Linked DNA regions of Schizosaccharomyces pombe. The protein of the gene in region 2 interacts with the protein of the main gene of each other region in a biochemical or structural test. Each region holds a gene or a part of one and is shown on either strand. Other genes may lie near its edges. The genes, in order: mcm2, hsk1, hst4 and dfp1.

Evidence for each region.
Region 1: of the proteins of hsk1 (region 2) and mcm2, one has a biochemical effect on the other in vitro, tested with the Schizosaccharomyces pombe proteins (3 studies listed by BioGRID).
Region 3: the proteins of hsk1 (region 2) and hst4 form a complex in vitro, tested with the Schizosaccharomyces pombe proteins (one study listed by BioGRID).
Region 4: the proteins of hsk1 (region 2) and dfp1 form a complex in vitro, tested with the Schizosaccharomyces pombe proteins (5 studies listed by BioGRID, with this or other methods).

Annotation. Positions count from the first base shown.
Region 1 is NC_003423.3:1,188,549-1,197,071, forward strand, and holds mcm2 (MCM complex subunit Mcm2), read right to left. Parts: upstream 5,595-8,523; 5' UTR 5,561-5,594; coding exon 5,328-5,560; exon of another isoform or gene 5,109-5,327; coding exon 2,849-5,108; 3' UTR 2,660-2,848; downstream 1-2,659. Other genes in the region: COPII-coated vesicle-associated protein Sfb3, read right to left, coding at 1-2,264; ubiquitin protein ligase E3 component mlo2, read left to right, coding at 5,806-6,795; SPOM_SPBC4.06 (acid phosphatase), read left to right, coding at 7,466-8,523. UniProt on the Schizosaccharomyces pombe protein: Acts as a component of the mcm2-7 complex (mcm complex) which is the putative replicative helicase essential for 'once per cell cycle' DNA replication initiation and elongation in eukaryotic cells.
Region 2 is NC_003423.3:3,195,043-3,202,707, forward strand, and holds hsk1 (Dbf4(Dfp1)-dependent protein kinase Hsk1), read right to left. Parts: upstream 4,160-7,665; 5' UTR 3,934-4,159; coding exon 3,705-3,933; exon of another isoform or gene 3,647-3,704; coding exon 2,801-3,646; exon of another isoform or gene 2,738-2,800; coding exon 2,289-2,737; 3' UTR 2,018-2,288; downstream 1-2,017. Other genes in the region: COG complex subunit Cog6, read right to left, coding at 1-214, 267-527; rpl2801 (60S ribosomal protein uL15), read left to right, coding at 1,449-1,895; condensin complex non-SMC subunit Cnd1, read left to right, coding at 5,096-5,210, 5,281-5,359, 5,451-7,665. UniProt on the Schizosaccharomyces pombe protein: Required for G1/S transition. Plays a role in DNA replication checkpoint signaling through regulating rad3 and cds1. Involved in the maintenance of mitotic chromosome structures during S phase through regulating the function of rad21.
Region 3 is NC_003424.3:2,189,221-2,196,681, reverse strand, and holds hst4 (histone deacetylase, Sirtuin family, NAD-dependent Hst4), read left to right. Parts: upstream 1-3,066; 5' UTR 3,067-3,200; coding exon 3,201-3,393; exon of another isoform or gene 3,394-3,518; coding exon 3,519-4,573; 3' UTR 4,574-4,618; downstream 4,619-7,461. Other genes in the region: CENP-A chaperone, CHD family Hrp1, read right to left, coding at 1-1,665; CENP-P family protein Fta2, read right to left, coding at 4,619-5,674; vps66 (acyltransferase), read left to right, coding at 5,961-5,985, 6,173-6,437, 6,502-6,775, 6,837-7,175; SPOM_SPAC1783.01 (methionine synthase reductase), read right to left, coding at 7,377-7,461. UniProt on the Schizosaccharomyces pombe protein: NAD-dependent histone deacetylase, which contributes to both telomeric and centromeric silencing, proper cell cycle progression, DNA damage control, recombination, and genomic maintenance.
Region 4 is NC_003421.2:1,210,135-1,218,079, forward strand, and holds dfp1 (Hsk1-Dfp1 kinase complex regulatory subunit Dfp1), read left to right. Parts: upstream 1-4,191; 5' UTR 4,192-4,311; coding exon 4,312-5,949; 3' UTR 5,950-6,304; downstream 6,305-7,945. Other genes in the region: nmd5 (karyopherin), read left to right, coding at 1-955; Swr1 actin-like protein Arp6, read left to right, coding at 1,874-1,953, 2,025-2,139, 2,212-3,222; vgl1 (vigilin), read left to right, coding at 7,008-7,945. UniProt on the Schizosaccharomyces pombe protein: Activates hsk1 kinase and is essential for G1/S transition. Has a role in S-phase checkpoint control induced by replication fork blocks after nucleotide deprivation and DNA damage.

The DNA.
Region 1 (8,523 bases), 2.0 Mb from region 2:
GGTAGACAACCCGTATTTTCAGGGTCAGGAAGACAATCAGTGGGCTGTAATTGATGTAGTGCATAAATGTTTGGATAAAGATTTAGCATCAACTCTTGAATAGGAGCTGCTCTCACCTCTCTGAGCTGTGAAACACGAATATCACTATGAATGCTTCCACTTCGGATAGCAGATGATTTCAAAACTGCAAGAATCAAAATAGGTAATAACACCAAGTTCTTTGGAAGAACCAGTTGGCCTGGAGTCAAACGATTAGCAGCAACCTTCCGATAACTAGATAAGATTTTCACGACACCCTCCACTAACCTAACCGATGTATCTTTTAAAGAACCCGCTGCAATATTTGTCGATGCAATTTTAGCTAAAACTGCAACGATAGGTTCAACAATGGCAAGAGAAATCGTATCGTAGCTTTTAGAAGTGACAGCACAGCAATAGTTAACAACCCTTACTCTTCTCTCACCAGAAGGAGTGGTATATAAAACCGCAGTTTGAAAGTGAGCGTCCAAAGCTCCATTTAATTTTCCATCATAGGAAAACAGAACTGTTACACTTTTATCAGCATCAAGACTGCCAAATTCGATATCTTGTGGAGTTCGTTGCAAGAAGTTGCCTAAATATTTGGAGACACGCAGACCATTTGAGCATCGTGTCTTCAACATCACTCGATAGCCTTGCTCTCTGGTAACACTTCTAAATAAATCTTGTTTAAGTCGAGATCCATCACGATCAGCAACAAAATTACTATAGTGGTAAATCTGCCCACCACTTAAGGTCGCAACACTTCCAACAGTAGCAACATCAACATAAGCAGTAGCAGTAAAGAAAATATCAACACCTATACCAGCAGTAACATATTCATCGGCAAGAGATGTATACCACTTGTCTTGGGTGTTCCAAAGATTCTTTTCATCAGAAGTCCCATATAATCTTTGATCTTCACGATGCCTTAATTTCCCCAATCCCATCGTAGGAAGAGCACTAACAAAAACAAAAGCTTTTCCACCTGTTTCCTTAAGAAGGAGTTTTACTACTTCCAGTGCATTGCCAACGACTGGTTCGGGAATTTTAACATCTTGAAAAATTGCAGGGAAACTGTCCAGCAATCTCTCAATGACAACTTTTGAAGCAATGGGATCAACAAAAAGACCGGAAGAAAATGGAACAAAGGGATTCTCTAAATCAGAAGCAGCTAACATATGGGGTTGCTCTAAATTAGGAGATAAATTGAAGAAATTAACGCTTCGATCAAAGCAGACAATAGCAATTTTGACATTAGGATCAAGAGGTACCGGTCCGTAGAGAATATTCCGAATAGCTTCAGCTGCAACCTTGGGAAGTCCTTTGGAGGAAGCTTCATAGGAAACATCAATCATAAAAACAAAGCGAGCCGGCTTTGGCGGATCCTCCTTTATCCAATAGTCCTTCCCCACTTTAAAATCAATAGTGCCAACATTTAATTCTGGACGAGACTCCACTCCATCATGCTGACTACCGACTAAAGGATTAAAACCATCATCATTAAAACTATTTTCTGAACCGCAAAGATTGCAAGTCCATTTACTACTTGCCATCGTGAATTGGATAAAAGGATTGATGTAGCCACGACATTTTTTGCAACGTGGGGGATTTGAATTTGTGTTATCTACAACGGGTACGGGTGCTTCATCAGGACGTAACTCTGCGAACGGTTGAACAATCATTCCCAAGGGGATTCCGGAAGCATTGCAAACATCATTGGTAGCTGGAATCGCGTAACTGGTAAACTGAACGAATTTGGAAGATGAATTTCCTTGTTCATACCCAACAAAATCTGTAGTGGACATAGGTGGAGAACCCTTTTCCATGGTATTGAATATTTGGTTTTTAAACAATTGCTGATCTTCATAGCGAACTTCAGGAGCCGAAGGTAATGCTGCAGGATCGAGGAGATTTGTATCATTAGAAAAAGATTCTGGAAGTACTGAGGGTGTACTTGGCGTAGGATAATTCATGGAAGGCGGGATAGCAGGCGACATGACAGGAGCCAAAGCTGGTTCAGCATCTGTCAATGACATATCATATGCATGGGCATCTTTATGTCTTCTAGCGCGTCGGGGTTGTGGAGCCATTGCACTACCTTGCTGTATATACATTTGTGCGTTCATTTGAGCAGCTAACTGAGTGTCAATTTCAGGGCCCCCATATGAAGCAATATTGCCAGCAACATTTTGCCTATAAGTCTCAGGATTACCGTAATTTCCAAACTGCCCGGGATAGGCCATTTTGTTTTTGTGTCAAGTTTACTTGGTGGATGTACGAATATAAGTAGGTAAGGGTAGGGCAAAATATATACCAAATAAAAAGACTGATTTGAAAGAGTAACACGATATAAATAATTTTAGATAATAAAGTGTGAAATTTGAGATTCTTCAGGAACATCAGATATGAACTGGATGCATTTCCGATTGTCAAAAGTTGACTTCCCTTTAAATTTGGAAATGGACAATTTAGCTCTATATGTAAAAAACCTCAGCTGTTTCAAAAAATGTCATTTCACATGGGCAGTGGCTCTTTAATGAAACAGCTAATAATATTGATACAGCGGAGAAAGTATCTATACACCTAGTATCTATAGCGAATAGTCAATAATGATATTCAAAACAAGTGTTATTAACCTAAATAATTTAGATTGACATTTTGAAAACTAAGAAAGAATGAATGTAAAGATAGGTATAAAAATGTAAAGCAAATTTTGATTGCAAATTATTAAAGGATAGATATATGCAACAGATGCAGTAACAAAAGGAGGGTCAAAGAACGGGGAAATCAAAATCACTGGACTCCATAAACTGATTGTGTCAAAAAATTAAATAAGATATTTAGCAAATGTTCTTGACAAACTTCGTTTAACACTCATTTTTTGGGCATTCACAAAGGAATCAATAATCACTTGAATGGCTTTGTCTATATGTGAAGGGCGCACAAACTCACTGAGCTGCATTTTTGCAAATGCTTCACTTAAACGGATAGCAGACTCCAGATGACGCACAGTAATAGGATAACTTCCAGTAGCCAGTGACTCGCGTCTCATATCGCTATAAAGTCTCGAAATCTTTTCTTCATCCATTTGCTGTAATCGAGGAAAAACTTTTTCACGAGCGAAATGGATATATTTACGAAGAAGATCTTGGGGAATGGGTTTGGCATCAATACCAGTCTCAGTAGGGACTTTCTTCAAGACATCCATATTCGGATCAAATGCAGGATGAGATCGAATATGACTTGATACAACAAAATTAGCTAGCTGTTCATCAATTTCAGGATTAACCGTGTCTTTGACGACCTGAAGGATGTCAAAACGAGATAAAATAGGTTCGGTCAGCTCAACATTTTGATTAAAAGGAATTGTAGTGTTATAACGTCCACCGATGGGATTAGCGGCAGCAATAATAGTGCACCTCGCCTGCAAGGTAGTCACAATACCCGCCTTAGAAATAGAAATACTTTGTTGTTCCATGGCTTCGTGAATAGAAGTACGATCCTGATCATTCATTTTATCGAACTCGTCAATCAAACAAACACCTTTATCTGCTAAAACCAAAGCACCCCCTTCCAAAGTCCATTCATTCGTAATGGGGTCTTTACGGACGGATGCAGTTAGACCAACAGCACTGGCACCCTGACCTGTGGCGAAGACAGCCCTATGTGCCGTTTTTTCAACATACTTAAGAAATTGAGATTTGGCGGTTCCTGGATCTCCCAACAATAAAACATTGATATCACCTCTAATTTTATGCTTACCGTTAATATTTTTGGGGACACCACCGAATAAAGCAGCAGCAATAGCAGTTTTGATAGAGCGATGTCCATAAATAGAAGGCGCCATCGATGCAATAATTCTGTTGTGAATATCAGGCGACTTTGCTAATGCCCGAATTTCCCTTTCCTCATCATCAGTAAGCCGACTTAAAGAGAAATCATCATCAGTATTACCACTGCCGTCAAGTTGCGATATGTGATTTGCTTCTATAATTGTAGCGAAGACAGGAAACCCGTTTTTGGTATTCAGACTAGCATCGAAGTTATTGCGGTATATGCCAGTAACATCAATCTCTTCGCCTGGTTTGGCAACATCAACCAAGTCCGCTAAAAGAATAACTTCACGGTGTCGAGGCAGTCTACCTGAGGGGACGGTGCCAGGTGATTCTTGTAAAGTGATCCTTTGATAGTTATTATATACAGTCCGTTCAGAGTTGATTACAAACGGACCACGGCTGGAACAGTTGTGACAGAAAGAAATTTTTACTTCAACGCTAGAGTCTTGAAAAAATGGACCCAAAGTAGCACCACATTTGGTACATGTAAACCGAATGTATTTTAATTGTGGAAAAAGCCCAGTGCGCCTAGTTACGACACCAGATACCCGTACAAGGCAATTAAGATGGGATTGTCGTAGATCGCGTAAAGTAAAACAAGTAGGAAGATTAGTGATACGAACATGAATATCAGAGTGTATTCTTTCATAGTCTGGATAATGCAAAAGAGTGGCTTCCAAAGCAACACGATCAAATATGCGAAAAATAGGTGCAGGCGCATTGGCCAAGAAATAAGCCAAAATGGGTTTAGATTCACCAAGATGGGCATAATTAACCATCAACGACTCAGCATTAACCTCACCCAATGTGCGAATACGGTTACCGTATACAGAGGTGCCATTTTCATCTGTATATTCAAGAAGGAAATTTTTGAATTCTCGAGCAATTGTACGCCGAACAGGATCAAGAGTAACCCATTCGGCAATACTATCGGCCTTTACGTCGGCAATTGATTCAAGAGGAAGTTCACCAGATTCGTCCAATGCGCCAACATTAGGTGAATATTCGTCGTAAATTCGATGTCGATGACGAGTGAAGCCTGTGCCAAGATTGGAGTCCAAATCATCATCTTCATCTTGTAAAAATGCAGCAGGTTTTGTTCTACCTGCAGCAGCATCGAGCTCAATATCACGTCGTCTCAACCTGGCATCAACAGCTCTTCGGGCCCCGATATCTAATTCTTCAAGATCGTTATCGTCATCTAGTTCTTCAATGTCATAACGATCTAGCTCCAAATTTTGTTGATAATCACTATACAGTTAGAAAAAAGTACCTTATTTGACGCGAAATGTGAAACTACTCTTTTGAAAATCAAGATTTGTTCTGTCAATATAACCGCAACCTAGGAATCCAATAAATATATTTATTTACAAGAAGGAGAAGAAATAGTATGTAATTTATATATTGATGGCAACACTTAGTATACACAACATTGACAAGACACGTCTCAAGCATAGCTATAAAACTTACCGTTCCATTCCTTCTCCGAACAAATCTTCACCTTCTTCATCCTCTACATCTAAAGCTTCTCCGTCCAGATCCTCAATATCCTCCTCCACGAGAGCTTCTGCAGCTTCATCAGAGAATTCTGGAGGAGGTGAAGAAGGAGGTAAAGAAAGAGGTGTAGCACCGAGAGAAGAATTTTCTGATTCAAAAGGTAAACTTTCAGAATCGCGGCGACCCCTTTTCCGAAAAGAATCCATCTTTGGACTCAAATACTTTAAAGATGTTGTTTCTAACTATTTTAATGCATTGAATAGCTAGAGTATTGCAGGATGAAAGAATAAGAAATGCTACAGTATATTGTTAAATTGTATTGGAAAATGTAGTGATACCTGTAAATGAAATAGAGGAGCGTAATGAGTTAGTGTTTTGAATTATTCAAAAGACATTCTTCGCAATTGTTTACGCCGTCTATTTGCCAACGTTTAGTTGCATTTAATAACTTATGGAGGAAACGGCTCATGAATTAACGGTTAAGCAATATGTTGAACAGCAAAGGGAGCTTGAAAGGGAGGCACGAGAAGTTTTGCCTTACAGCTTTGACACGTGCACTTATTCGATGGGCTATTTGAAGCAACCTTTATACGCTTGTTTGACATGTCAAAAAGCTAGCGGAAGCTTAAATGCTGTTTGCTATAGCTGCAGTATTAGCTGCCATGCTGACCATGATCTTGTGGACCTATTCAATAAACGACATTTTCGATGTGATTGTGGCACCACAAGAACCCACTCCATACCTTGTAATTTACGGAAATCCGTTGATGAATGTGGCTCAGAAAATGATTATAATCATAATTTCGAAGGGCGATTTTGCATATGTGATACGGTGTATAATCCAGAGACAGAGGAAGGAACTATGTTTCAATGCATCCTTTGCGAAGATTGGTTTCACGAAAAGTGTCTGCAGAAAACTAATAAAGGAATTGCAATCCCAGATGCTGAGACTTTTGAATGGTTGGTGTGTTCAGAATGTTCAGAAAAATACCGCGATCATCTTTTAAACCAGAAGCATGAAAGCATAGCTGGTACAGAACGAGCGCCTCTATTTCTTTCAGAAAACTTTAGGGAAAATTTGTGCCCTTGTGAATCTTGCATCAGTTTGCGTAATTTGGAGATGCCAATGTTGGTGGCAGAAGAACCTATTTACGAACCTCCTGAGGATTCTGAGGATGGAATCAGTGAGATGAATGAGGATCCCAGTGAATCTGGAGAAATGATTGAGCAAGTCATATCTAGCACAATGAATGATGTCCTTCGTATTTTGGACAGACTTCCTCGTGTACAAGCTAACGAAAGCGTTTATGCGTATAATCGCTTAAAATCTGAGCTAACGGACTTCCTCACTCCATTTGCTCGTGAAAATAGGGTTGTCACCAAGGAAGATATATCAAATTTTTTCTTGGAGCGATCTCGAATCAGTAAAAATTTACGGTAGCGTTAATAACTTTTTTGAATTCCCTTCTTTTTTGGCGTATAATTTAACGTCAAAACATGTAGGTTATACTTAATCTGGTGATGCTTTTTGTGAAACGCTGTTTATACTGGTGAAACCAGAGATATTTTCTATGTGCTTATGGTTAAACGTAATCATTTCTCTATCAAAAATGGTTTAATTGATTTTCTTAACAGAGATGGTTAATTTGAGAGGCTTACTGGGGCTTGTTGGTATACATGATTTTAATGATGATGACAAATTTGTATGTATATTTGAACAATAATTAATATATTGAACTTCTAGCTTTCTTGTCTCTCCTATTTTAACTGCACTCATTAAAATTTTTAAACCTATCTATAGTTTTGGTGGTTGCGTCTTTTATCTTTTATTTTTGATTGAGAAAGCTAAAGAGAAACCCTGTCTGGGTATTTTTTTTTTGTTATATCTCATAATGACTTTCATTTTAATTTTTTCCTAACAGTTTTTTAAGATTGAATTAACTTTATATTTTATTGTTTTCTTTTCATAAACAAAACTAATTTTCAAATAGTGTCGTTTCGTTAATATTCAGTAATTCATATTTTATATGAGCTTTGCGATGATGTTCAAGCATTGAGACCTTAGTTGACAGCAGCTCTTATCCAGCATCATCAACCACTTCCTAGCCGCCATGTCTCAAATGTCTTCAGCTTCTGTTAAATTCCCGGATTCAGTTCCCGGAGTCGATTATCCAAAACAGCTGCAACTGAAATATTTACAAGTCATATTTCGACATGGTGAACGTGCTCCCGTGAAGGAAAGACTTGGTTCCGCCGGTATCCCTAAGGATTGGAAGCTTTGTAATAATGCAAGGAGGTTTTTTGCGCAAATTAAAGGGGAAAAGGAATGGTCTGTGTTGGGTTTTGAAAGGAAGGTTGAGTCACCAGTTGACACGTCTCTTGCAGCACCAACTTCAGACAATTCCCCAAGTGGTGTTTGCATTCATGGTGAATTGACTGATTTTGGGCGTGTTACTACCAGAACACTTGGTGAGTATCTTCGAGAACGTTATGTCAAACAATTGAAATTCTTACCTGATGAATTGAATAACTACGCTGATGTTTATATGCGTGCGACTCCAATGGTGCGAGCCTTGGAGTCTTTAGAACATGTTTTTTCCGGATTGTATCCTGAGTCAAAGCGTAAGATGGGTTTACCTGTCATTTTTACGAGAAATTGGTCAGACGAAAACCTACTTCCTAATGAAAACAACTGTCCTCGACTTGTGCAACTATATGAAGAATTTGCAGAACGAGCTGCTAAGCTTTACGATCCCTTACTTGCAGGCCGTGCCTCTGAAATGATGAGTCAATTCATGAATGGTCAGCCTGTTAGAGTTGTTTCAAGCCATCCTCGTCTCAGTGGTTTGCTTGATACTATTAACGCTGCCATTGGTAGCCATGTCGACTTCAATCCCAACCTAAGAGATGAACAATGGTTACGCGATGCCGAAACTGCTGTTGTAGAAGAATGGTTTGGCGGTTATAAGGTTTCTAAGTTGATGCGTCAATTAGGTGCTGGAAGCTTGTTAAATGATTTAAGCATGAGAATGGAGAACTTCGTGGTCGCTGAAAAGAATGGTTCACCCTATCATCGTTTGGCCCTCTATGGCGCACATGATGTTACAATAGCTGCCATTTTAGCATCTTTGGACGCATTTGACTATCGCTGGCCACCCTTTACATCACA
Region 2 (7,665 bases):
TCAAGTGAATTAAATCATCGTCCATTATTACAAAGTTTTTCTCAAATATTTCAATATTTTTGAGCTTTTCCTCAATCAATGCTTCCTCTTCACAGAATGTCTCATACGAATTCAATAAGATTTGTGCGTCATTCGTTTTTTTAGACCACTCATTTTTATAGCTATCAATTGAATTTTTAACTTTCAAAAGTTGACTCTGGACAGACAAAGTTTGCTATACAGTTAGTGCGTTGCAGAAATATTTGATGGATTAGTATTTAACATACACTTGAAAGCTCTGACAGCTCTTTGATGATTGACCCATTCGTCCATATTAAATCAGAAAACACTTCAAATGGAAGTTGCTTTCGTGCTTCTCTTTCATTTTTGAATTTTCGTTCAGACAATTGTTCTAGTGCCGCTTGAACATTCCGGTCTGCATAATTAATTGAAGACAATTGTGCTATATTTTTCGACACAGAATTCCTAAATAGAAGCGATTCTTCTGGGTTGGACTTTATGTGTCCATGCTTGGATTTCACATCCATGAAGTAGTGTTGTTAGGAGAATGCCGACGATGCTTCACAATTGCTTGACTGTCAGGATGAGACCCTAACTTTTGAGTACTGTAGTAATTAGTTTTTTAAACAAACAAGTAAAATACGTTGCTATAGTTTCTTTGAACTCAGCATAATTAGTTTCGTTACTAAACCGTGGTATCTTTGCCAATTGACTGTTAAACGTTTTTTTATCTATATATAATCCTAGAGCGTAAAAGTATAATACGATTCTTGGGTGAAGTAAAATTATTAAAATCCAACTTATTACCTTATTCAAGACATTTTCTAATTATCGCCAATTAGGCTCGCAGATTTGTATGTTACAGTCTTAGTTTTTTGAATTTTGACATGATCCGAACGATTGCACTCTTTAAAATTTGTATAAAAGAACGACAGAAATTTACGATGCTTAATCAAGGATGCACACACATCTCATCTCTAATTTTCAAAAATTCACTACATTTTCATATAGACAATTAAATACATACCCTCTAAATTCATTAAGGTATATATATGATGGTACTCATATTCATGGCTTTTGGACAACCTCAAACATATTTAATTCAATTGTCAAACGATCAATACATTAACAATCTGGCGACAATTATTTGACAAAGATATATGCCGACAAGTATTGTTTACATTCGAACAATATAGGAAAGTGCACTGATGCCCGTGAAAATTAGACACGCAACAAAACAAATTTAGGAATTTAAAAACCTAAAATATTTAAAAAATTACTATTCCATATTTAATTATTAGCTGTTTTATTGCAACTTTCAAATTCGGCTAAATTCGTAAAACGCTACACTTTCAACTATAAATGTGACTGCTTTTTTTTATTCTCTCAAAAAACTGTACACATCTTTTTGCTTCAGACTACCCACTCTATTAAGGCGAAGAAACGAGATGCCTACTCATACTTCTAAGACTCGTAAGCTTCGTGGACACGTCTCAGCTGGCCATGGTCGTATTGGTAAGCACAGGAAGCATCCCGGTGGTCGTGGTAAGGCCGGTGGTTTGCAACACCTCCGTAGTCACTTTGATAAGTATCACCCTGGTTACTTTGGTAAGGTTGGTATGCGTCGATTCCACCTCATGAAGAATCCTTTGTGGCGTCCTACTGTCAATTTGGATCGTCTTTGGACCTTGGTTCCCAACGAAACTCGTGAAAAGTATCTTGGTAAAAACACGGAGGTTGCCCCCGTTATTAATGTCTTACAATCTGGTTACGGTAAGGTTTTGGGTAAGGGTCGTCTGCCTGATACTCCCGTCATCATTCAAACACGTTATGTCTCTCGTCGTGCTGAAGAGAAGATCAAGCAAGCTGGTGGTGTCGTTGAGCTCATTGCCTAAGAACATCCTGTGATTGCTTAGTGGCTTAATAAAATTAATTTTGTTTGATTCGTTTATCCGTCTATACTTTGATGGAATATAATTGTTGTATGATCAATCTGTAGTGTTATTCTCTGGTCAAATAGTGTATAGAGATTTTATTTCAATTAAGTCAGTAAGTGAAAAAGCCTCACCTGCTGATATGTGTTCGTTATGCTATGGTAAAATTAATTATGGATTAATGTTTGTAACTGAAAATGCACCCCAAAAATTCCATAGGGTATTTTCGATGTATAGACATACAATAATGCTTTCACTTTAATACCCAATGATTACAGTAATGCTTATACTGTAAATGAAAATGTATGCACAAATATAAGTGATTGCTTGATGAGAAATTGCCAGCAAATCTTCTCAAGCTCCATCCTGCAAAGCATCATTTGGTAAAATTTCATCAATACTTCGCTTCCGCTTTGATAAAGAAGTAGGTTCATCTGTTTCTTCCTGCTCTTTAAAATCAAGGATATGGGATAAGTGCTTAGCAGTTAAGTCTTCGTCTTTCTCGAAAGAGGTTTCTCCAAAGCTATTATCAAAAGCTGTATCGTCATCTTTCTTTTCGTAAGCTAAATTATCGAGATACAAGAAATCGTGATCCAATGCTTCCTCAGCTGAAATCCTTTTGTTACAGTCAAGTTCAAGACATTTCTCTAAAAAATCCAGGCACAATCGCTCTTCTTGGCTTGGTTTATGACGAAGCTTTTCTTTGTATATACTGGCTGAACCACAACTGGCCCACAAAATAAGTTTCCTAAAGTTTACTCTTTTTTCTGTAAGCGTGCTTACATTTGTCTCAAACGTACAACCTGGCAGGTTAGCGAAAAAAATCAACACAAACACTTCCGTAAGGGACATTAGATCGTTCTTACCGTGTAAAGCAGCACATTGGCGCATTTCGCTTTTTCCAAATATACATGCTATCTCCATGAGTGCATCCACGTCGTCCTTTGAATTAAACATGGGGAAACGTTTAGTAAGGAAAGATAACAAAATAACCCCAGCAGACCAAATATCAACTTTGGGTGATTGAGATGAGCATTTAAACAATACTTCAGGTGCTCGAAATCCTCGAGTTCCGGCTCTATTGGCCCGTTTGCTTGGTCGAGTATCGTTTTTTATGTATCCAAGAGATGTTTCCTGCGCAATCGAAAAATCATGTGCTAATTCGGCCGCATTTGAATTAGTGCACCGGCAAGAATGTGATTGTTGTCTTCCATCATAACGCTCTGCTAATCCAAAGTCAACTAAGACACCATGCTTGGTACGAACATCGAAGAGAAAGTTACTAGGCTTAATGTCTCTATGAATGATTCCCAAAGTCTGAGTTTGCTGCATAGCTTGAAAAAGGCATCGAAAATAAATGCTCATATCGCGATAGGAAAAAGTGCTATAATATTGACGAAAGTCAGTATGCTCGTAGTAGGGTAAAACTACGAGTACCTGATCTTCATTTCTTAAAGCAGTTATTAGCGGGGCTATTACCGACGATCCCCTTAATAAATATAGGATTTCTAATTCATTGTATATTCTAGCAGGACTACTTGTCGCGTAAATTTTTTTTATAGCAACGTACTTCGGTTTCCGGCTGTCTTCATTAACAGGAATTTTTTCTTTTCCAAAAGAAGATTCCTTTAACACTTCACTTTGAATGTCCCAATCATTAATATACCTCCCATAATGTAGGTCTTCCGCTTTATATACACTGGAGAACGTACCTAAACGAATTAGCAAGATAGTTTCAAAACAGTACTAAAAACGGTAATTGAAGTTTACCTTCTCCAATTTTTTCAATTAGCCGATAGTTCTCTTGTAGCTCTACGAACGTCCTTGTGATATTTTCAATTTCTTCGCGGTCTCGTGCAGGGATATCTTGAATCATTTCTTGAGATTTGTTTTCGTTTACATTTTCATCGTCCACCTCAGTGATTTCACATTCAGAATCAATATCTGTTTGTTGTTCATGAGTTACTTTAGGTGATAGTGTGATATGGGCCTCTGCCATGTTAACGGTTTAACTCATATATTTTTAAACCAAATAATAACTTAAAAAAAATTAAAAGAGTCGTCAATTAAATGGTAAAATGCTGCCAAGGGAAGGAACCAAGAAAAAACAAATTTTCACGTATTTTAAACCTTCAAACCGAACACGCGAACGAATACTAAGATTCAAAAAAATCAAGTTTTTAAAATGTGTAACACAAACTCATTCCATGAATATAAGAATTTGCAGATTCCAGGTTCAACACCAGTTGTACATTGTTAAGCAAAATGCTCTTCTAATGAGGGACATTGTTACTTCCAAACAAGAAAAATACATTTTTAATCCAACTTTTGTTTAATAAAAAAAGTACTCTGCTATAATATTTGTATACTTATGGAAAAGATTAAGATTTCATGTCCTTTATCTTTTTTTAAATTTAGGACTTGCTTTAAAAAACATAAATCCTTTGGGCTCTTGTTATTGTTAATAACCACCATAAACAACTAGAATTGACTATTTATTGGACATTGAGAGTAAATATGATTAACCATGGTATTCAAACACGTTTTTTTTTTCTGTTATTTAAAAATAAATAAAAAAATTATCCTGAATTTGAAATTTATTCCTAGTTAAACTACGATAGGTTTTCTGTTTAGTTTATTGTGTATTACTTTAAAATTCTAAAAACAGCACAAATGCTTACCTCGTCAAAATTTGCATTCATAATAATTTTGAAAATCACCTTGAAAATGATACATGCGCCAAAATAAATTATAAGTTTTTATATCAGAAATACAGCTCAAGAAAGAATTTACAACTAACGTTATTCAAAAAATATATTAAATTCTTTTCAAAACATTTAATTAGAAGTACTAAAAAGAACAATAGCTTTTACGTGGCACGCTCAATAAAAGTTAATTAAAATATTATTTTTTAATGTAAACAAATGAGTTAATAAAAGCACGTTCTATATCCTTAAAGTGGTTAGCAACAATTAAGTCTAGCTCCTATTTTATATTTTGACTAACCGTAGCTCTTTTTTGTTAGTAAGAAAGTATAAATGGACCCCCACACAGGACATATAGGTGGGGTTATTGTTTACAAGGACTACTAGAATGTAGTACGCCAAATCCATCTTTTATTTCATTCGTAACATAGAAAGATTCGGCTTTCAGTGGCCTCAATGTCGTTGGATCTTCTTTCTAGATTAAAGAAATACATTCATGATGAAGAAAATTCCGACTTGGACTCGATTTATGCTGAATGTGAAAATGCTGGATTGACAGCCGTGGTTAACGGTATGGACATTTGGGTTTTTAAAAAAATTGAAAATGATCGATTCCACAATAACTAACAATGAAAAATTAGACGTCATTGATACCCTTTTATTAGGAACGAGTTCTTGTTTCGACGAGGATTGCTTGGAAAAACTCTTTGCTATATGTTCGTAAGTAGTTGTTATTTTGTGTTATTCAAATAGAAGGAAGCCATTTGGTTTACTATATATCAATTTTACCAAACTAACAATAATGGTTTAGACACTTTGCTGACCTCTCTTCCTCTGTAAGGAATAAAGTATATGATTTACTCACGAGTAATATCAGCTCTGAATCCGCTATTCTTGAAGATATGATTTCCGCAAATGCTACTGATTTTACTGTACCTCAAACGAATTTAGAAACTACAGGCATTGCATTTCAGCTCACGGTCAATTCCCTTTCTTCCTCAAATCAACTTTCAGTTATTCGGTCATCCACTAATACTGTTAAGGGAAGAAAAAAAAATCCAACTACTAACTCTAACTGGAATGGTATCTCACATGTAAATGCTTTGTTAGATGCAATCATAACATTATTTCAAAAAAAATTATCTCGTGTATGGACTACTTCTTCGGAAAGAGACATGTTTCTTTCACTTTTCCTAAAACCAATATACACGTTAATGGAAAGTGAAATTAACATAAAAAATGCTTCTTTCCGTTCTCGTTTATTTAATATTATCGGGCTTGCTGTTCAATTCCATAACCATACCACTGCAGCGGAGACAAATATTATTCAAAATTTACAATACTTTGAGCATTTATCTGAGTATGCTGCTGATCTTGTTCATATTGTTACCGTTCAGTTTAATTCCGTTACCTTGGCTGAAGGAATTATTCGAACATTGTGCTCTCTAGAATTTAATGATAACGATGTTAAAGGTCCCAAGCAAGTCGCTTTGTTTCTTGTCCGTCTTTCTTCACTTATTCCAAACTTATGTTTGAAACAGCTTACTCAATTAGTTAAGCTGCTTGATTCGGAATCATATACTCTGAGATGCGCTATCATAGAAGTACTTGCTAATGTGGTCATTGATCAAATTCATGATGAGGCTCAAAATGAAATGTCAGAGTCAGTGCCAGCAACTGTTCAAAGCTTAATGGATCTTCTCAGTGAGCGATTACTAGATATAAGCCCTTACTGTCGTACTAAAGTACTTCACGTCTTTATCAAAATATTTGATTTACCAATTAAGTATCCCAGAAAACGTCAAGAAATCGCGGAACTCGTGATCAGATGTTTGCAAGATCGGTCAAGTCATGTCCGCCGAAATGCAATTAAGTTATTTTCTAAACTTTTAACTACCCATCCTTTTTCAGTTATGCACAATGGCTTACTAACCAGAAATATTTGGGAGAAAGGATTATCTATCATCGAGGAACAGCTTAATTCTTTACAACCAAAGCAACAAGAAAAGGTGGTAGATTCAGAGCTTGAAGTCGATGAAAACTTATTAGAGGATGCTACTATGATCCAAGATGATGAGTCACATGAAGGAGAAAGTCACTTGGAAAATTCTCTAAGCGAATATGTCGATTCTGTTCCTGCTGAGGAAATAGTCAAAGTGAATTTAACGAAACGGTTTTATTTAGAAGCACTCCAATATATAGACATTGTGGAAGCGGGAGCAAAAATAATAAGCCAGTTGTTGTTTGCTAAAAATAAGAGCGAGGTAATTGAGTCAATGGATTTCTTTGTTTTTTGCAATTCTTTTGGAATTTCGTCTTCAAAATTATATATAAAAAAAATGATTCATTTAATTTGGGTAAAAGGAACCTCCGACGAAGGGAACAACATTCAGAACCATGTATTGTCATGTTATAAAACATTATTTTTTGAGCCACCTCCGAACTCTGGTACCAACGAAGCCGCAAACTATATTGCGAGAAATCTTATTTCATTAACATATGATGCTAGCCTTGCTGAGCTTACATCACTTGAACAGATGCTTTGCATTTTGATGAAAGATGGGTATTTTTCACATCTAGTCATAACAAAACTATGGCAAGTATACAGTTATCAAAAGAAGGATATATCTCGAACACAACGTAGAGGATCCATCATAGTAATTGGAATGCTAGCATTAGGCAATACCGATGTTGTCATGCAGGGCTTGGATCATCTTATTCAAATAGGACTTGGTCCCCCTGGTTTGGAGGATTTAGTTCTTGCAAGGTACACATGTATAGCGATTAAACGTATTGGCAAAGATGCGTCTGGTTCTTCTAATATTAATTTTCCAAATTCGCATACGCTTTGTCAAAAATTATGTATGCTTTTACTTCGACCATCGTTCTCTGAAGAGTGGTTTGGGTTAGAAGAGCAAGCTATTGAGGCTATATATGCAGTTGCCAAACATCCTGACGAACTTTGTACCAACATTATTTTGCTTTTGACGAAACAACTCTTCAAACCTTCCAATCATGAGAATACT
Region 3 (7,461 bases), on a different chromosome or scaffold from region 2:
AGGAGTGCCTGTTATTAATAATCTATTGGCAGTCCGAAATTGAGATAAGGTCTCGTATAAAGATGATTCACTGTTTTTGAGTCGATGAGCTTCATCGATAGCAAGATATTGCCAGCGAATATTGTTGAGTTCTTGCTTATCTTTCAATATATACTCATAGGTCGTAAGTAGAATGTTAAATTTAAGCTTGCGAGAATTCGTAGAAAGGTAGAATTCATACTCTCTAATATTAGCACGAGATTCCGTATTACCTGTATAGCAAATACTATTCAAATCAGGTGTCCAATTGGCCAATGTTTCTTGCCAAGCCGGAACAGTGGAAAGCGGTACGACAATAAGGAAAGGACCGTGTTGTTTTAAAGAATGGACTAAATAAGATAAAAAGCACACAGTTTGCACGGTTTTACCCAAACCCATTTCATCTGCTAAAATACCATTTTCATTCCGGTGCCATAAATATGCCATCCAGTTTATACCAGTAAGTTGAAAATCACGGATTTCCCCCCCTTTAATGTAAGATGGTTGCTTTTCTAACTTGCGGTACGGGGGACGGGTGTTATAGAAAACACCTTTATAAGGGAGATACGGACTGTTTTCACGTTGCAAGAATTGATAAACTTCATTTGGTGCCATAGAATAAATTACGTCGGCATCTTCCCATGTGCAATTATCATAAGGAAGCTGCCTCCACTTTACAAAGTATTCTGTTTTTCCTTCTTCGTTAGTTTCAGAAGCTACTATGCGTTCGACAATTTTATACTCTTCAAAAAGCATATTTTTACGTTCGCGTTCAATATCCAGAGCTTCGATATCTTCAAAGGTTGTAGTTGGATCTTCACGAATCTCGCGATCATAAATGATGTTTTGCTTTATATAATTGTCGACTTTTTTGTAGCCCCTCACAGAAGAAAGCGTAGAATAATCTTCCCAAGTATTATGAAGATGGGAAACTTCCTGCCATTTAATTAAATACTGATAGCTAGACTTCGGGTCATCGTCTTGTGCATCCGCTCGCTTTCGGTGATTTAAAACGAAATCAATAATAGGCTCATATTCCTCTTCGACCTGTTCTTCTACTTCCTCTTCTTCGTCCTCGAAGTCGTCGTAAAATTCTTGTTCATTGTAGTTGACGCTTTTACCTTTTGAAGATCGCAATGAAGTACGGATTTCGGTTCCGGAAGCAGAGTTAATACTGAATCTATGTCTCTTATCATATGCGTCTTCATCATCGCTAGCCACAGACTTTTTTTGCTTTGGTGCAGGTTTGCTCTTTCGTTTTTTAGGAATCGGAATTTCATGCTCGTCAATTTCAGTATAAGAGAAATCACGATAAACGGGTCGTTTAGCCCTTGAAGAACGTCTTGTACCATCTACTCTAACATCGTCAGAGTTTTGCGCATCGTCAATTTTAGGGGTAGACAAAGCAGAAGATACAACTGTGCTATTAGCAGTGCTGGTTACGATTTCAGAATCATCAAAGGCAGAAGACGATAAAGATTGCTGCGAAGCGAAAGAATTTTCATGATTTAACAGGCCATTCATGCTAGGTAGAGAATTTGTTGTATTTCCAAACTGAGGATCAGTTACTGCAGAGCCATTTAAAGTAGACTCTTGAACGCTCGTAGGATGATTTTTTAAATCATAATTCGAATGTTCAGGCTCCATTCTTGTTACTCCAGAAAATTTATATAATGTTAAATGTTGAGAACGTCCACAAAGTAGGCGCTCCTTTGCAGACTCTCTTTTAAAAGCTTAAAATGCTTTTTTTTAAATATATATCTGGATATTAACAGTGAAGCAACAAAGGATTAATAGGAATAAGCAGTATGCCTATAAGGCTATTAATTGAAATTACTATGTTGTTGGCAGAAATTAATAGTGCAAAAATATGCAACACTATAAATGAAATGCCAGGCAATGCAGGTGATTTTGGTATCAAATTACTTCTCCAGAGTCCCTTTTTATTAATAAAATTTACCTTTTGAGAAGGATTCACTATTTTTACTCATGCAATTTCCACTCTCAATTTTTGCGAAAATGCAAGACCTTTACAAACAAAAAAATCCTTTGCCATAAAATGTACGAGCTATTCTCATTCACTCCATGGAAATTAAGTTAGCTTACAATTTTCATTTCCGGTTCGTATTTCCGAGCAAGTCTGCAGATTTTATTTCATTTTCAAATTAACTGTGCAAAACGTGAAGGCAAATTCGTATTTCATAAAATGCTTCAGTTCGCATGCTTTTATTAAATTTAAAGATCATTAATTTCAAAAAATTTCTATATATTTTATTGTTTACTATCCCATAACGTTAAATAGTTTACACAAAAACGTCGAAACTTTTCACATAAACGTATGCTTCTTTGTTTCAATTGTTCATGAAAACATAATGTATTTATTTACTTCTTTAATTACAATTGAGAGGGGAATCGAGACAGAGAAAACAATAGTTTCTGAAAGAAATAAACTAATTAAAAATTTGACCGATTGGTTTTACTAAATTTTTTTAACTGCATGGATATTTTACCAAAGATTCAAAGATATATTTATTGGTTTTGTTATTTTTTTGAGAATTTTATGAAAGACTTCACCTTCCAACTTTTTCAATTAAATGTCAAGGAAAAATACTGTACTTAAAACTCTTGAAAGTTTTCCCAATATTTAAGAAAATGGAACTTCAATTGTTTTTTTAAATTTTTGCAATCCCTTTTTGTTTTAATATTTTTATTACCAGTTTCTGTATATATTTATTTATTTCATTTGACTATTTAGACAATTTATATATTGATAGAAGGAGAAATCTCAGAAGGATTATTGAAGACTTAATTTTATTCTTTTTATTAATGTCAGCATGAAAGCTGATTTTCTAGTCTGAACATTTTATTAAATGGGTAAAAACAAAAAAATCAGTACTCTAAATAAACATTGGTTCAACGGCATTTTTAAAAGTGAATAGAGAAAAAAATTGCGATTACTGTTATACAAAGACATGGCGAAATTGAGTCTTTCAAGCGATATAATTGTCCTTCAACGGCCTTTCGAAACGTACGTAGACACAACCGCCTAACCGTCAATCACAACTTAATTCCTCAACCATTCCATTTTAGGAAGAAGTCGAAGAGTTCAATGATTTTAATATATTTTAATTAATGCACTCAACTTTTTGGATTTAAAAAATTCCAAATTTACGTAGCTTAGTATGAAAGTGGAGGAGCACGTCCCTCTAATACAGGAGTCGAGGAAGAGAAAATGCCAATCTTCTGAAAATGCTTCGAAAAGGCAGCAATTACTTTCCAAGCTTCCACTTAGACTTCATACAGGCAATGAAAATGTCGATTTATCTCCTTTAGTTTCTGCCATTCGCAAGGCAAAGCGCATAGTCGTTGTTACTGGTATGTTGCTTATTTATGGTTTTCCTTCTTTTATTTTAACTTTTCACTTAAAAAAAAAGTGGGATTAAAAAAAAAATTAAATATTATAATCGTACAAAGGCTCATTTACTAATACGTTTAAACAGGTGCTGGAATTTCTTGTGATGCTGGAATTCCTGATTTCCGTTCCTCTGAGGGTCTTTTCTCCTCCCTTCGTGCGGAGTATAAATTGAACTGCTCCGGGAAGGAATTGTTTGATGGATCTGTTTACAGAGATCTTAAGAGTGTTAACATCTTTCACGCAATGATTAGAAAGCTACATATGCTTTCTAATAATGCACGCCCCACTGATTTCCATTTATTTTTATCTCAACTAGCCCAAGAATCTAAGCTGTTACGTTTATACACACAAAATATTGATTTTTTAGAAACCAGACTCGAGGGCCTTCAAACATGTATTCCATTGCCGCAGTCTGCCCCTTGGCCTACCACGATTCCTCTTCACGGGACACTGGAAGTTGTAAGTTGCACAAGGTGCAGCTTTTTGAAAAAATTTAATCCAGATATATTTGATAGAAATGGTGTTACTGTTTGCCCTGACTGTAAAACCGAGAACGAGGTTCGTCGTATAGCAGGAAAAAGATCAGTTATCGAGGGTTGCCTTCGTCCTCGGATTGTTTTGTACAATGAGATACATCCGGATTCCGAATCTATTGGTTCGGTCTGTTCACAAGATTTAAAGTCCCGCCCTGACTGTCTAATTGTTGCTGGTACTTCTTGTAAAATCCCTGGTGTCAAAAGAATTATCAAGGAAATGAGCAACTGTGTGCATAAACAGAAGGGAAATGTTATTTGGTTGAATTATGACGAACCTACGAAAGATTTTTTGAACTTATGCGACCTGGTTGTACAAGGAGACCTTCAAATTGCTATTAGACGTCTGAAGCCTTTATTAGATGCTCCAAGTTGGAAACTCAAGTCCCATTCTGCCAAAAGAACTTCAAAACAAAAATCTTCCGAACAAACAAAGATTACTTCTTCCACTAAAATTACGAAAGCTATTGGCTTGAACACGAAAAGCAATGATAGTTCTAAGAAAGATAACACTTCTTTTCAGTTGCACCAAGTGCTCAATAGTATTGAAATACCCAAGGTGGAAATTAAACAAGAAGTTGAATATGCAACCCCTTCTCCGCTTTAACATTTAGCTTCAATAAACCATGTTAAAAATATCAATTTATCCTTCTTACCCCAAATGAGGTTTAAATAATGCCTGTAATAATAGTAGTGAACCTTCTCTGAATCCGAAAAGCGATACAAATTCCGAAAAACGTTTGTCTAATTGATTAAGCAACTTTGATGTGATGCTTACAATTTTTTCATTTTGATTCTTTAGTATATAAGAGATGCAGTAATTAGGTTGTACAAAACCAAGATCATCAAATTTTATCTCATAAAGTATTGTAATTTTGTAAAAGGAATTTTGAACATAGAAACATTGAGCGTCCATGTTTGCTGATGCCACTTTTTTCATATGCTTTGATAAATAAAACCACGTATTGCAGCGATATGAGTAATGGTGGGCAAATAATGAGAACGCTCTCAAAAGAGCTACTATATCGAGACATTGTATTGCAGAGTCCGAAAAACTACTGAGCTCTTTTCTAGCAAAATGCGGGATTTTATAAGTAATAAATAAAAGAGCATAATCGATTGTTCGGACCTTAATTTCTAGTAAAAATTTGAAGCTTGGGAGATATTCTATATCTCCTTTAAGAGAATGATGAATGATTTTCTCGGATTCCGCTTCAAATTCATGTTGTGTGAAACGAATGGATGATATGGACGAATTCAATTTAACATGTTTTTTGGGTTCAGCAGATGGCATAACTTGCTTTGTTTTAGGATTATCAGGGTTTTCGGTATTATAAATTACTACAGAGGAATCAATCTCTAATAATGATTTTATAAATCCGCTTAAAAACGAATCGTCGCGTTGGTTAATTGCATTTCGTCTAACCCTCACCTCTTTCTCAAGAAGCAGGGTTTGATGTACAAGGTTACTCCTTTTGCGCAAAAGATCCATTTTTCTGTCAGTGTCTACTCTTCCGTTGCTAGATTTGGATTGTCCACTGTTTTCATTAGGCCTCGCTCGTGAATCTACGCGAGGCATGCCATTTAAAGTAGTATTTGGGCTTCGGTGAGCAACAGTACGTTTTGTCTTTTTTTGTTGCGAATCACTATCATCACTACTGCTAGATCCTTCTTGTTGAGAAATTTGACTATATCGCCTACCGGACATTTTGATATTTATAGTCGTACGCGATAATAGTATCAGTATTACTACAATTAACAATGCTCGTGCAAAAGTGTTTTAATACTTTTTATGCAACATTAATGAAAAATCCAAAATCCTCAAATGGTGGAACAAATGCATATAGTATATAGTCATGGTCAAAGCAACACTTAAACCTAGAAGTGAATCTTAGTAGCTACCACTTTGAAATCACTACTTCATTTTTACGACTGAAATCCATATTACTCTACTAAAAATAATATTTGTAATATTTTATCATTTTCATTGTGAAATGGAGAAATTTACTCGCTGGAGAGGTAAGAATATGCAATACTTTAAATGCTTGATTGTTCACATAAATGTTGTTTAAATAGAACGCAAAAAAAAATAAAAGCAAAAAATAGAAGCCAATTATTTTGTATTATGATTCTTGACTTTAAGATCGAGTGTTTGTCAATTTCTCTTAACAAAATGACTTTAATGCAGATTCATTAACCCTTTTAGATCCGGGAACGGGCATAGCTCCATTCCATCCTATAAATACAGAAACTCCTAGTGGATTTAATTTTAAATGGATCCTTATAGTTGTTGTTATGATATTGCGAGTTCCTCTTTGCATCATTTCTGTAACATTATGGTTTCTCTGGTCTTGTTTTTTGAAACCTATACTATCTATACAGCCGAAACTTAGTTTTTTTATTGATTCGAGTCTCTCCCGTTTACTCCTTTTATGTTTTGGATGTCTTAAATTATCAAAGTCAACTTCAGGGTATGCCCATTAAGTCCCTCGTGCATCTTACATTTTTTATTTTTCAGAAACTAATCATGAGTAGAAGTTTCGTTCAGGGTGATAGCCTTCAACCGGGTGATATCTTGGCAGTGAATCATTCAAGCCCTTTGGATGTACTTGTGTTGTCTTGTTTATATAACTGTACTTTTGCTGTGTGTGACTCAAAAACTTCGAATGTCTCAATTATTAGTGCTCAGGCTTATTTTTGGTCGTGTTTCTTTAGCCCTTCGAAACTAAAGATTACTGATGCTAAACCTCTTGCTAAAGTTGCTGCAAAGGCATCAAAAATAGGAACTGTCGTAATTCTATTTCCAGAGGTAAGTGAAATATTACATATACTTGTGTTTTCCTAAGAAAACAAAGGGCTGATCATTTTAGGGTGTTTGTACAAATGGAAGAGCTTTATGTCAGTTTACACCGTGCTTTGATTCTGCTAAGGAAACAGATAGGATTTTCCCTTTGTATATAAAGTATCTTCCTCCCTGTGTTACCCTACCGGTTCCTTCCCTTTTGAGTTTTGCACGTTCCGTTTTGTTGACAGTTTCGTTCGAAATTCGCATTCGCTTTTCAGCAGAACCTCTGATTCCCAGGAATTGCACTGATGTAACAGAATCAGCGCAAGAAGTTCTCTCCAAATTAGGTCGCAGCCGTGTTGTTAAACTTGGCAAATCTGATAAGCTTAGCTATCTTGATGCCCGTTCCAAAAAACACGTATAGAACCTTGGTAGATTTGCATGATAATCCTCAAGTCTGTTTTATTTTATATGTGTAGCACTAAAAACGCAAGGGAACAAACCAAATATGAAATGATACAGTACTTTTATTAACATAATAAATAATCACATTGAAAACTCTAAAAAAACAGATACCTAAATTGAAAATGAGTGTAATTATGAAGTATTTTTCATGGTAGGAAAATTACCATACCTCCTTAATTAATTTACAATTCATAGGTTTTTGCCAATTTTTTAATTCTTTTTGGGCTTCCTCTTTGGAAAGTTTC
Region 4 (7,945 bases), on a different chromosome or scaffold from region 2:
TGCCTTAAGTAACTTTATCACGTATGGTGGAAAGGAATTTGCTTCCCGTCCTGATTATATCGCCGTTATGGTTGATATTATCATGCAAGTTTTTAATAGCGAGCACCTGGCCGTCAATGACCGTGTTTCGGCTTGTAAACTAACCGAACTTTTAATGCTTAATTATCGTGGCCTTTTGGATCAATATGTGCCTGCGTTTATTGAGGTTGCTGGTAATCTCTTACTTGTAACTGAAAAGCCAACTTCTCAAACATACCGCGTATTTTTGTTGGAGGTTATAATCAATGCATTATATTATAACCCATCGATGTCTCTTGGGGTACTTGAAATGCATCAGTGGACTTTACCATTCTTTGCGTTATGGTTTGAAAATATACCTTCGTTTACTCGTGTGCATGATAAAAAGTTGAGTTTGGTAGCTATTTTATCGGTAATTTCACTGGGAGCTCAACAAGTTGCTGTTGCTATCCAAGACTCTTGGGGTAATATAATGAAAGTCATGATAACTCTTTTAAATACACTACCTGAAGCATTAGCTGCTCGCGCGGAATTAGAAAAAGAGTATGACGGTGAAACATTTAATTTATCTGGCTCTGGTTGGAATGATGGCATCGATTGGGAAGCCGATGATGATGAGGGTGTCGATGACTTTGCCGTCGAATATGGGGGACCTGATTTGGGTGGAGAAATCTCGGCTGATGTGGTTGACGATTTTGACGAATTTGAGCATTTCCAAGGAAATTACTTGTTGGACGAGGATCCTCTTTTCCATACTTTGTTAGATCAAGTTGATCCATTTTCACTTTTCCAAGAGTTTATGGTTCATTTAAAGGACAACAGCCCTGTCACATTACAAGATCTTGTCAAAAATTTGGAAGCATCCGAGCAGCAATCCTTACAGAGATTGGTAACTGAAAAACCCTCTACCCTTGCTGTCGCTTCCGATAAAACATGAGCCTGTTTGGCGCTCTAAGCCTGTCCAATTTTGGTAATAAAATATAAAAATATAAAACAAGCATTTTCTACACAGTGGTAATAAGCCAAACTGACATATTTGAACGGCTCTTTTTAAATGGGAAATCAAACTCTACGGGTTTGTAAAAATAATTTCTTCAATGAGATACGACCCGGAATTATGGCTTGGGAAAAATGGATGGAGGGTTTGTCTAAAGGGAAGGCTAAGAAAATTATTGTTGTATCGGTTTACAGTTCGGTGAAAACAAACGCAGAGGTGTGTTTCTTTTATAAGAATTTTGGAACGCCAATTGATTAAATGAAATTTAAAATCATAATATACCAGTTAATAAATATGAGAAGTTTTAAAATCGATTAATACTAGTTCATTTGCTTTTACTTTATGCGAATTGACAAACGCAAGTTGATGAGAAAATGAAATAGAAATATATTTTTCTTGAGGAAATAAGCATAAAGTTAAGTATCCACGATTTAGTAGTATAGGGAAAGTCGGTGTTTATGAATGGTATATTAGATGTACGTTGAATTAAGCAGCTAACTAAATTGATAACGGCTAGTTTAGGGGTTGGATAATATGATAAACGGCTTTTACAAACTAAATTTGATAGACAGCCCCCCATTAACGATGTTGTTATATTGATAAAGCTAAGATTTGCAAGATTTATCTTTAAAGTTATTTTAAAAAGATATCCTTCAAATTTATGATATTATTAAAAATATCATAAATATCTTTAAGAGCCAGCGTTATTATACTATTGCTTCAAACTGTAATGATATTGTTGTTATAGCACAACGCTATCATATAACAGCATTCCAAAGCCGTAACAACAGTACATTTAATCGCGGTTTTTGGGTGAAGTTAAGACCTAAGATATAGGAATACATTTTTATTAATAATATGGGACTACCCCCTAAAACTATTGTTTTAGACAATGGGGCATACCATATAAAAGCTGGATTTGCAGGTGGAAAAGTTGTGTAAGAAGAAGTGCATCACGTCAATAAATTTCATGTATCTTTTACTTTTTTCAGCTAACGATAGTTTTTAGTGAAATTCCGAATTGTTTGACGAGATCAAAAGATGGAAACAGATTATTTTTGGGGAATGAATTGGCCAACTGTAACGACTTTACAACTTTACAATTTCGCAGGGCGCATGAAAAGGTACAGCATTTATGAGGGAGTATTATTTACGAACAAAATAAATACAAAGATTATGTTTACTAATACTAGTAGGGGTATTTGGTCCATTGGAGCACAGAAACAGCCGTATGGGACTTGGTAATGCGCAATGTAGGTGTGATGGAACCTAGCATGGCAGACTATTCTTTACTGCTTACACAGCCCGTATTTACAATGCCTTCCATAGAACACAATACTATACAACTCGTGTTTGAGGAATTCCAATTCGATGCTTACCTCCCTTGCACCCCAGCTGAGCTAATTCCTTGGGATCATGGAAGTTTCACAATGAATCAAGAAGATGCGTATACTGGTCAACATGGAGAATGCGTTTTGGTAATTGACTCTGGATATAGCTTTACACACATAATTCCTGTGATTGATTTCTCTGTTCAAGAACAAGCGGTAAAGCGAGTTGATGTGGGAGGGAAATTACTTACGAATTATTTAAAAGAAGTCATCTCATACCGGAAGTACAATATGATGGAAGAAACATACATTGTTAATGAAATTAAAGAGTCCGTTTGTTATGTGTCTCAAAACTTCAAGGAGGACATGGAGATATGTCACGAAAAACCACGGTCAAAATTGGAAATTTGTTATGCTTTGCCCGATTACAGCACTGGAAAACATGGATATATTGTTAGAGATATTAATCAAAAAATAGAGCAACAAGTTTTGAATCTTTCAAATGAGAGATTCATGATACCAGAATTATTATTTTCCCCATCTGATATCGAAATACGTGAGGCTGGGATTCCAGAGGCGGTCATGCAAAGTGTCACCCACTTTCCTGAAAATATACAGGCAATGTTGCTTGAAAATGTTGTTACAATAGGAGGAAACTGTAAATTTCCCGGATTTCATAAAAGACTATCATCTGAATTACGGTCGCTGGCACCAGCTAATTGGGAAGTTAAAGTTTTTGAACCTTCAGATCCTATTTGCTTTCCATGGAAAAAGGCATCTCATATGCCGTTGGAGCACTGGAATGCGAATAAAATAACTCGTTCTGAGTACTCAGAACATGGAGCAAACATAATGACACGAAAAAGGAGAATATAATAGATCACCATTTTAAAACTCAATAATGTGGGTTAAATTTCTATCTTCACAAAATTCTCAAGGCGAGCTGATAATTCGCATCTTAAGAAATTGGTTTATTACATTAAGGCTACAGCAATATAAAACGAAAAATATGCATGCATTAAGAATAAAATCTTTTTATATTAATTAACGAATCATTCTATCTCTTGATCAACCACTAAAACAACAGCTAAATAACTATATCTTTATTATTGTCGCCAGGATAATTCATACCTAAAAAGCGTTAGCGAAATGAAAGATATTATAAAAAAGATAGGAATGAAAATCAGTATACAAGTATAAAAATTTAACCACATAGTTGTGTCTTCAAGACTAATCGATTTGTAAAGCATCATATGTAACATTCTATCTCTTCAAGTGTTTATACTTACATATTATTAATGTGCCTGAAAAACAAGATTGAAAAAAAAGAAAAATTTCAGCACTTCTTCACTACTGTTTCAAGTGCATTTTATATGTACAGTGCAGTTTCAGGTTGACAGTATAAGAGTTAAAGCAACCTTGAGTTAGAGCAGTCACGGTATACTACTTTAATTAGAATGTAGCGCGTTGCGTTGCAATGTAGTCGTGTCGCGTCTGTTTACATTTTGGATAGAAAGAGCTTTTCGTGAAATTTTGTTGCTTCTGTTGGATAAATTGTTCTTTTTCTCAAGTTAATCATATAATTCAGTAAAGGAAAACTGTGTAATAAGAAGAATCGAGATCCCAAATTATTTCTGTTGAGCCTTGTTCATGGGCTACATATATTTTCCCTCACATTTTCAACAGTAAAGCCTTAAATATAAAAGTAAAAGTTGATTAAATGATATAAATTTACTTTAATAATATAAATATGTACAGATATTTTATATTTTCTTCATAGATGTTACCCAATTGAATCGTTACTTTAAGCTGTAAAAGTTGGCCAAATTGCAGTAATCTCGAGTTGACCACCACCAAACACTAATATTGTCTTTTGCGAAAGTAAACAAAGAGAATTAATCCCAAGCTAGGCTCTCATTAAGAGGAAAAATCAAATACACTAATTTAGTAAGGTGGCTGTACCACATGAACCTAGGAAGATGTCCTCTAGCTCCTCGATCTGCGAATATAGTACTCCCGAAACATGATGCCGTATCCAAACAAAAGGAATATCGAATTGAGGAAAAGACAAACGAAGCACAAAGGGAGGAAATTATAACTTGGAAAGACAACAGGGAAGATGAAGGAGAAGTGAAAACCGATTTTGAGGTTGTTAATAACGAAAATATTATCACAACCACCCCTAAACATCAAACTGTTATTACCCCTAAATCATATCGCAAGTCCGTAAAACGGATTAAACATGATGCTCCTCAAAATGAGGATATTCCTGTCATGAAGGGGCTGGCCCCCATTAATGCTGATACTGAGTCGAAGGCGGAATCCATGGCAGCTGGGAAAGTTTTGGGATCTAAGAATTCCTCTCAAAAGGCTCGGTTACAGGAATGGAAAAGACAGTACAAGAAGGCATTTCCTCATTTCCGTTTTTATTTGGATGGATGCGACCCAAGTGTTGCTCATCGAGTGAAAAAACAAATTCAGCAATTGGGTGGACATGTTGAGACGTTCTTCTCAGGAAATGTTACTCATGTTGCAACAGTTCGGGCTATCCAAGATGTTTCGGTTAAGTATGCTAAACAGGATGTAATCACTAAGGCTAGGCAACTGAACATGAAGATTTGGTCTATGGAAAAGCTTTGCAACCGCGTGTTAAAAACTTTAATGGAGAATGATCAATGCACAACCAACGCACCCACCAAACAGGGGAATGACTTGAGTTATTTGCTTTACGTAGAAAAGGTGCAAGGAACGAACGAACGCGATTTATCTGTTCCTAGACAGGACTTTGTGCATTTTCGTGGACCCTACCTTTACGTGCATGACATAGCTAACATTTACAAACCTATACTCTTACGTGAATGGCAAAAACCGCTTCCCGACAGGGACGTTCCTTGGCCGACCTTTCGTGCTACTAGTATTGGCCGGTGTCCATTTGTACCTGAAACAAAGTATCGTCTCAGTACTTCCAAGTCCTTGGTTGCTAAAAATGACCAGCAATTATTGCAACGACAGAGTCAAGAACCATCGCTGATTCTTCGTGCGAATTCGATGAAAGCTTCCTTGCCTGATATATCCAACACCGGGATCTCTGGAATGAACACAAATACCACTTATAACACCAATATCAACAACACCCCTCAAACTGCCATTTCTGGAATTACCCAAGATACATCCCCTTCTATAAGGACAAATTGTCATCACTGTTTGGATGACGGTATGCAAGCATCGGGTATAGTACAGTCAAACTTGACTTCTGCTGCAATGTCCAATAATTCTGCTATTCGCTCCGGTAGTGCTGCTAGTGTTCCGGTGGTAACAATTAATGGGAGAGATATCGCAGAGTTGAAAAAGCGTATTATTCAGCAAAAGTCTGGCATGATTGGCAAGGACTACTCTTATAAAGCGATGCTTCACAACACGAGTCAACGGAAAATTCGTGTAGATGCGAAACCTGGCTATTGTGAAAATTGTCGGGAGAAATTTGATAATTTTGAATCTCATATCCGCAGCAGTAGGCATCGAAGGTTTGCCGAGAATAACGATAATTTTAAAGACCTTGATGAACTGTTTGCCCTTGTTCAACGTCCCTTAAGGCCAGATTGAGAAAATAGCCCGTGTCTTCAAATTTTGGCACATTCACTTTTCACTAATATACGATCGTGCATGCGTATTGTGTACACCTCCTTATGCAGTTTCTCGGGATTTAATTACATCTATGTATGTGCTATTTACCTTTCTTTTTTTATCTTCCTCTTCATTTTACATGTATACTTCTAATAGTTGTTATATCAAAAAGTTTCACGGTTTATTTTCTGATTTACCAGTATCCCAAGTTATCTATTGAACAAAGTGTTATTCATTAATAGTTTATTGGGGAAGTTAGTCATCGTTGCTTATGAATTACTACCTGGCTGAGCAAAATGATTCTTGCTTAATAAAGGACATTTTATAACGTTTTAGATTTTTTAGAACCGGTTACTTGTCTGACAACTCGTCTACTTTCACTCTTAATAGCGAGAAAAAAATCTTATCAATTGTATATTTAAATAACATATCATAAATGAATTACAATCAGTTAATTTAAATTTGCTTTTTAATCGATTAATTAACAAATTCAGGCGTACGTGCAAGGATACGTCTGAGATTTTTTTTTTTTAAATTTCGGATTACTCATAATATATCATGAGTTCTCATTTATTTTTCTGACTGTAGAAATAAATAGCATTTTTTATTTTATAGACATATTTTCTTAATTGCTGAAAGTATAAAATCAGCGTTTTACTGTACCCGGCTCTCCGCCCTGTATATGCGTTTAAAGCGTGTTAACGATGTGTGCTAGTTTTCGTCGTCTGCGCGTGCGAAATCACAGGTAATCTTACCATAAATTAACCTGCCCTAAACAGACACCAGTAGTCAACGCTACTTCGCTTTCTTTGTTTGCGATTTACTCTATTTTGTTACTGTAGCGTCAACTTTTTACGCAGGCTATTTACTGTACTTAGTAGTAACCTAAACACTTTAAATTTGGTGAACGAACGACGTTGTATAAAAAAGTAAATAAAACGAGGTTGAGTTAAGCGGGGAAGAACGTTTGGAAGCTTATATATTTTTGTTTTCTCACGTAAAAATCTTTATTGTATACACTTTCGGGACCTTGCCTAATGGAACATCTCTCTAATCTTGAGCAACCAACAACGATGGACTCATATGATTTTCAGAAACTGACTAACGATGAAAACTTGCAAGGAACTGAATCTCAGGTTCCTTCTGGTAGCAAAAGTGCCAGCACAAATGGACTATTAAGCGCTGCTTCATCTGCTGCTGGTTCCTCGTTTGGATTGACTCCTTCTGCTATATTACAGCAAAAGCATGAAAATGCTCAGCAAGGAAAGAAGCAAAACAATTCGAAATCATTTTCCAAAAAACCTGCCATTGACGTCCATTCTGAGGATGCATTTCCTACACTTCTTTCTAAAACTGGTCCCAGCAAGCCAAGGATTGTTTCGTGGGTCAGAAAGACAGCTTCCAATACTAGCGTTGCTGGTTCTGATTCAGTTTCCAGAGACAAGATTCCGTTCTCTGCTAGCTCTCGTGCATCTTCTACAAAATCAACTCTTTCTTCGGTAAAAGAAACTGATTTTGTTACGGAAACTTTGATTTTAAGCCCTGATAATCAAGCTCCTCGTATGTCTTTCGTGGGAAAGCCTAATTCTGTTGCTGAAATTGTTCGTACTGTCATGCATCAGACCTCTACACGTATTAATGTTTCTACTGCATCAAAAACTAAGAATACCACGTTTTTAATTCAAGGAAAGACTTCTGCTGTCAAAGCGGCTAGACGCCAAATTTTGAAATTGATTGGTCGTCGTGAAACGAAAACTATGCCCTGTCCTGTTTTTGTTGTTGGGGCTATAATTGGTACTAATGGACAAAACTTAAAGTCTATTATGGATCGCACTTCAACACGCATTCAAATTCCCAAGCGTAACAACACCGCAAACGAGTCCTCTGATGATGCCAAGAAACCTGAAAAGGAGGAAAATTCAGCTGCTTCTACCCTCGACGATTTGGAACCCCAATATGAAATGACTACGATTAC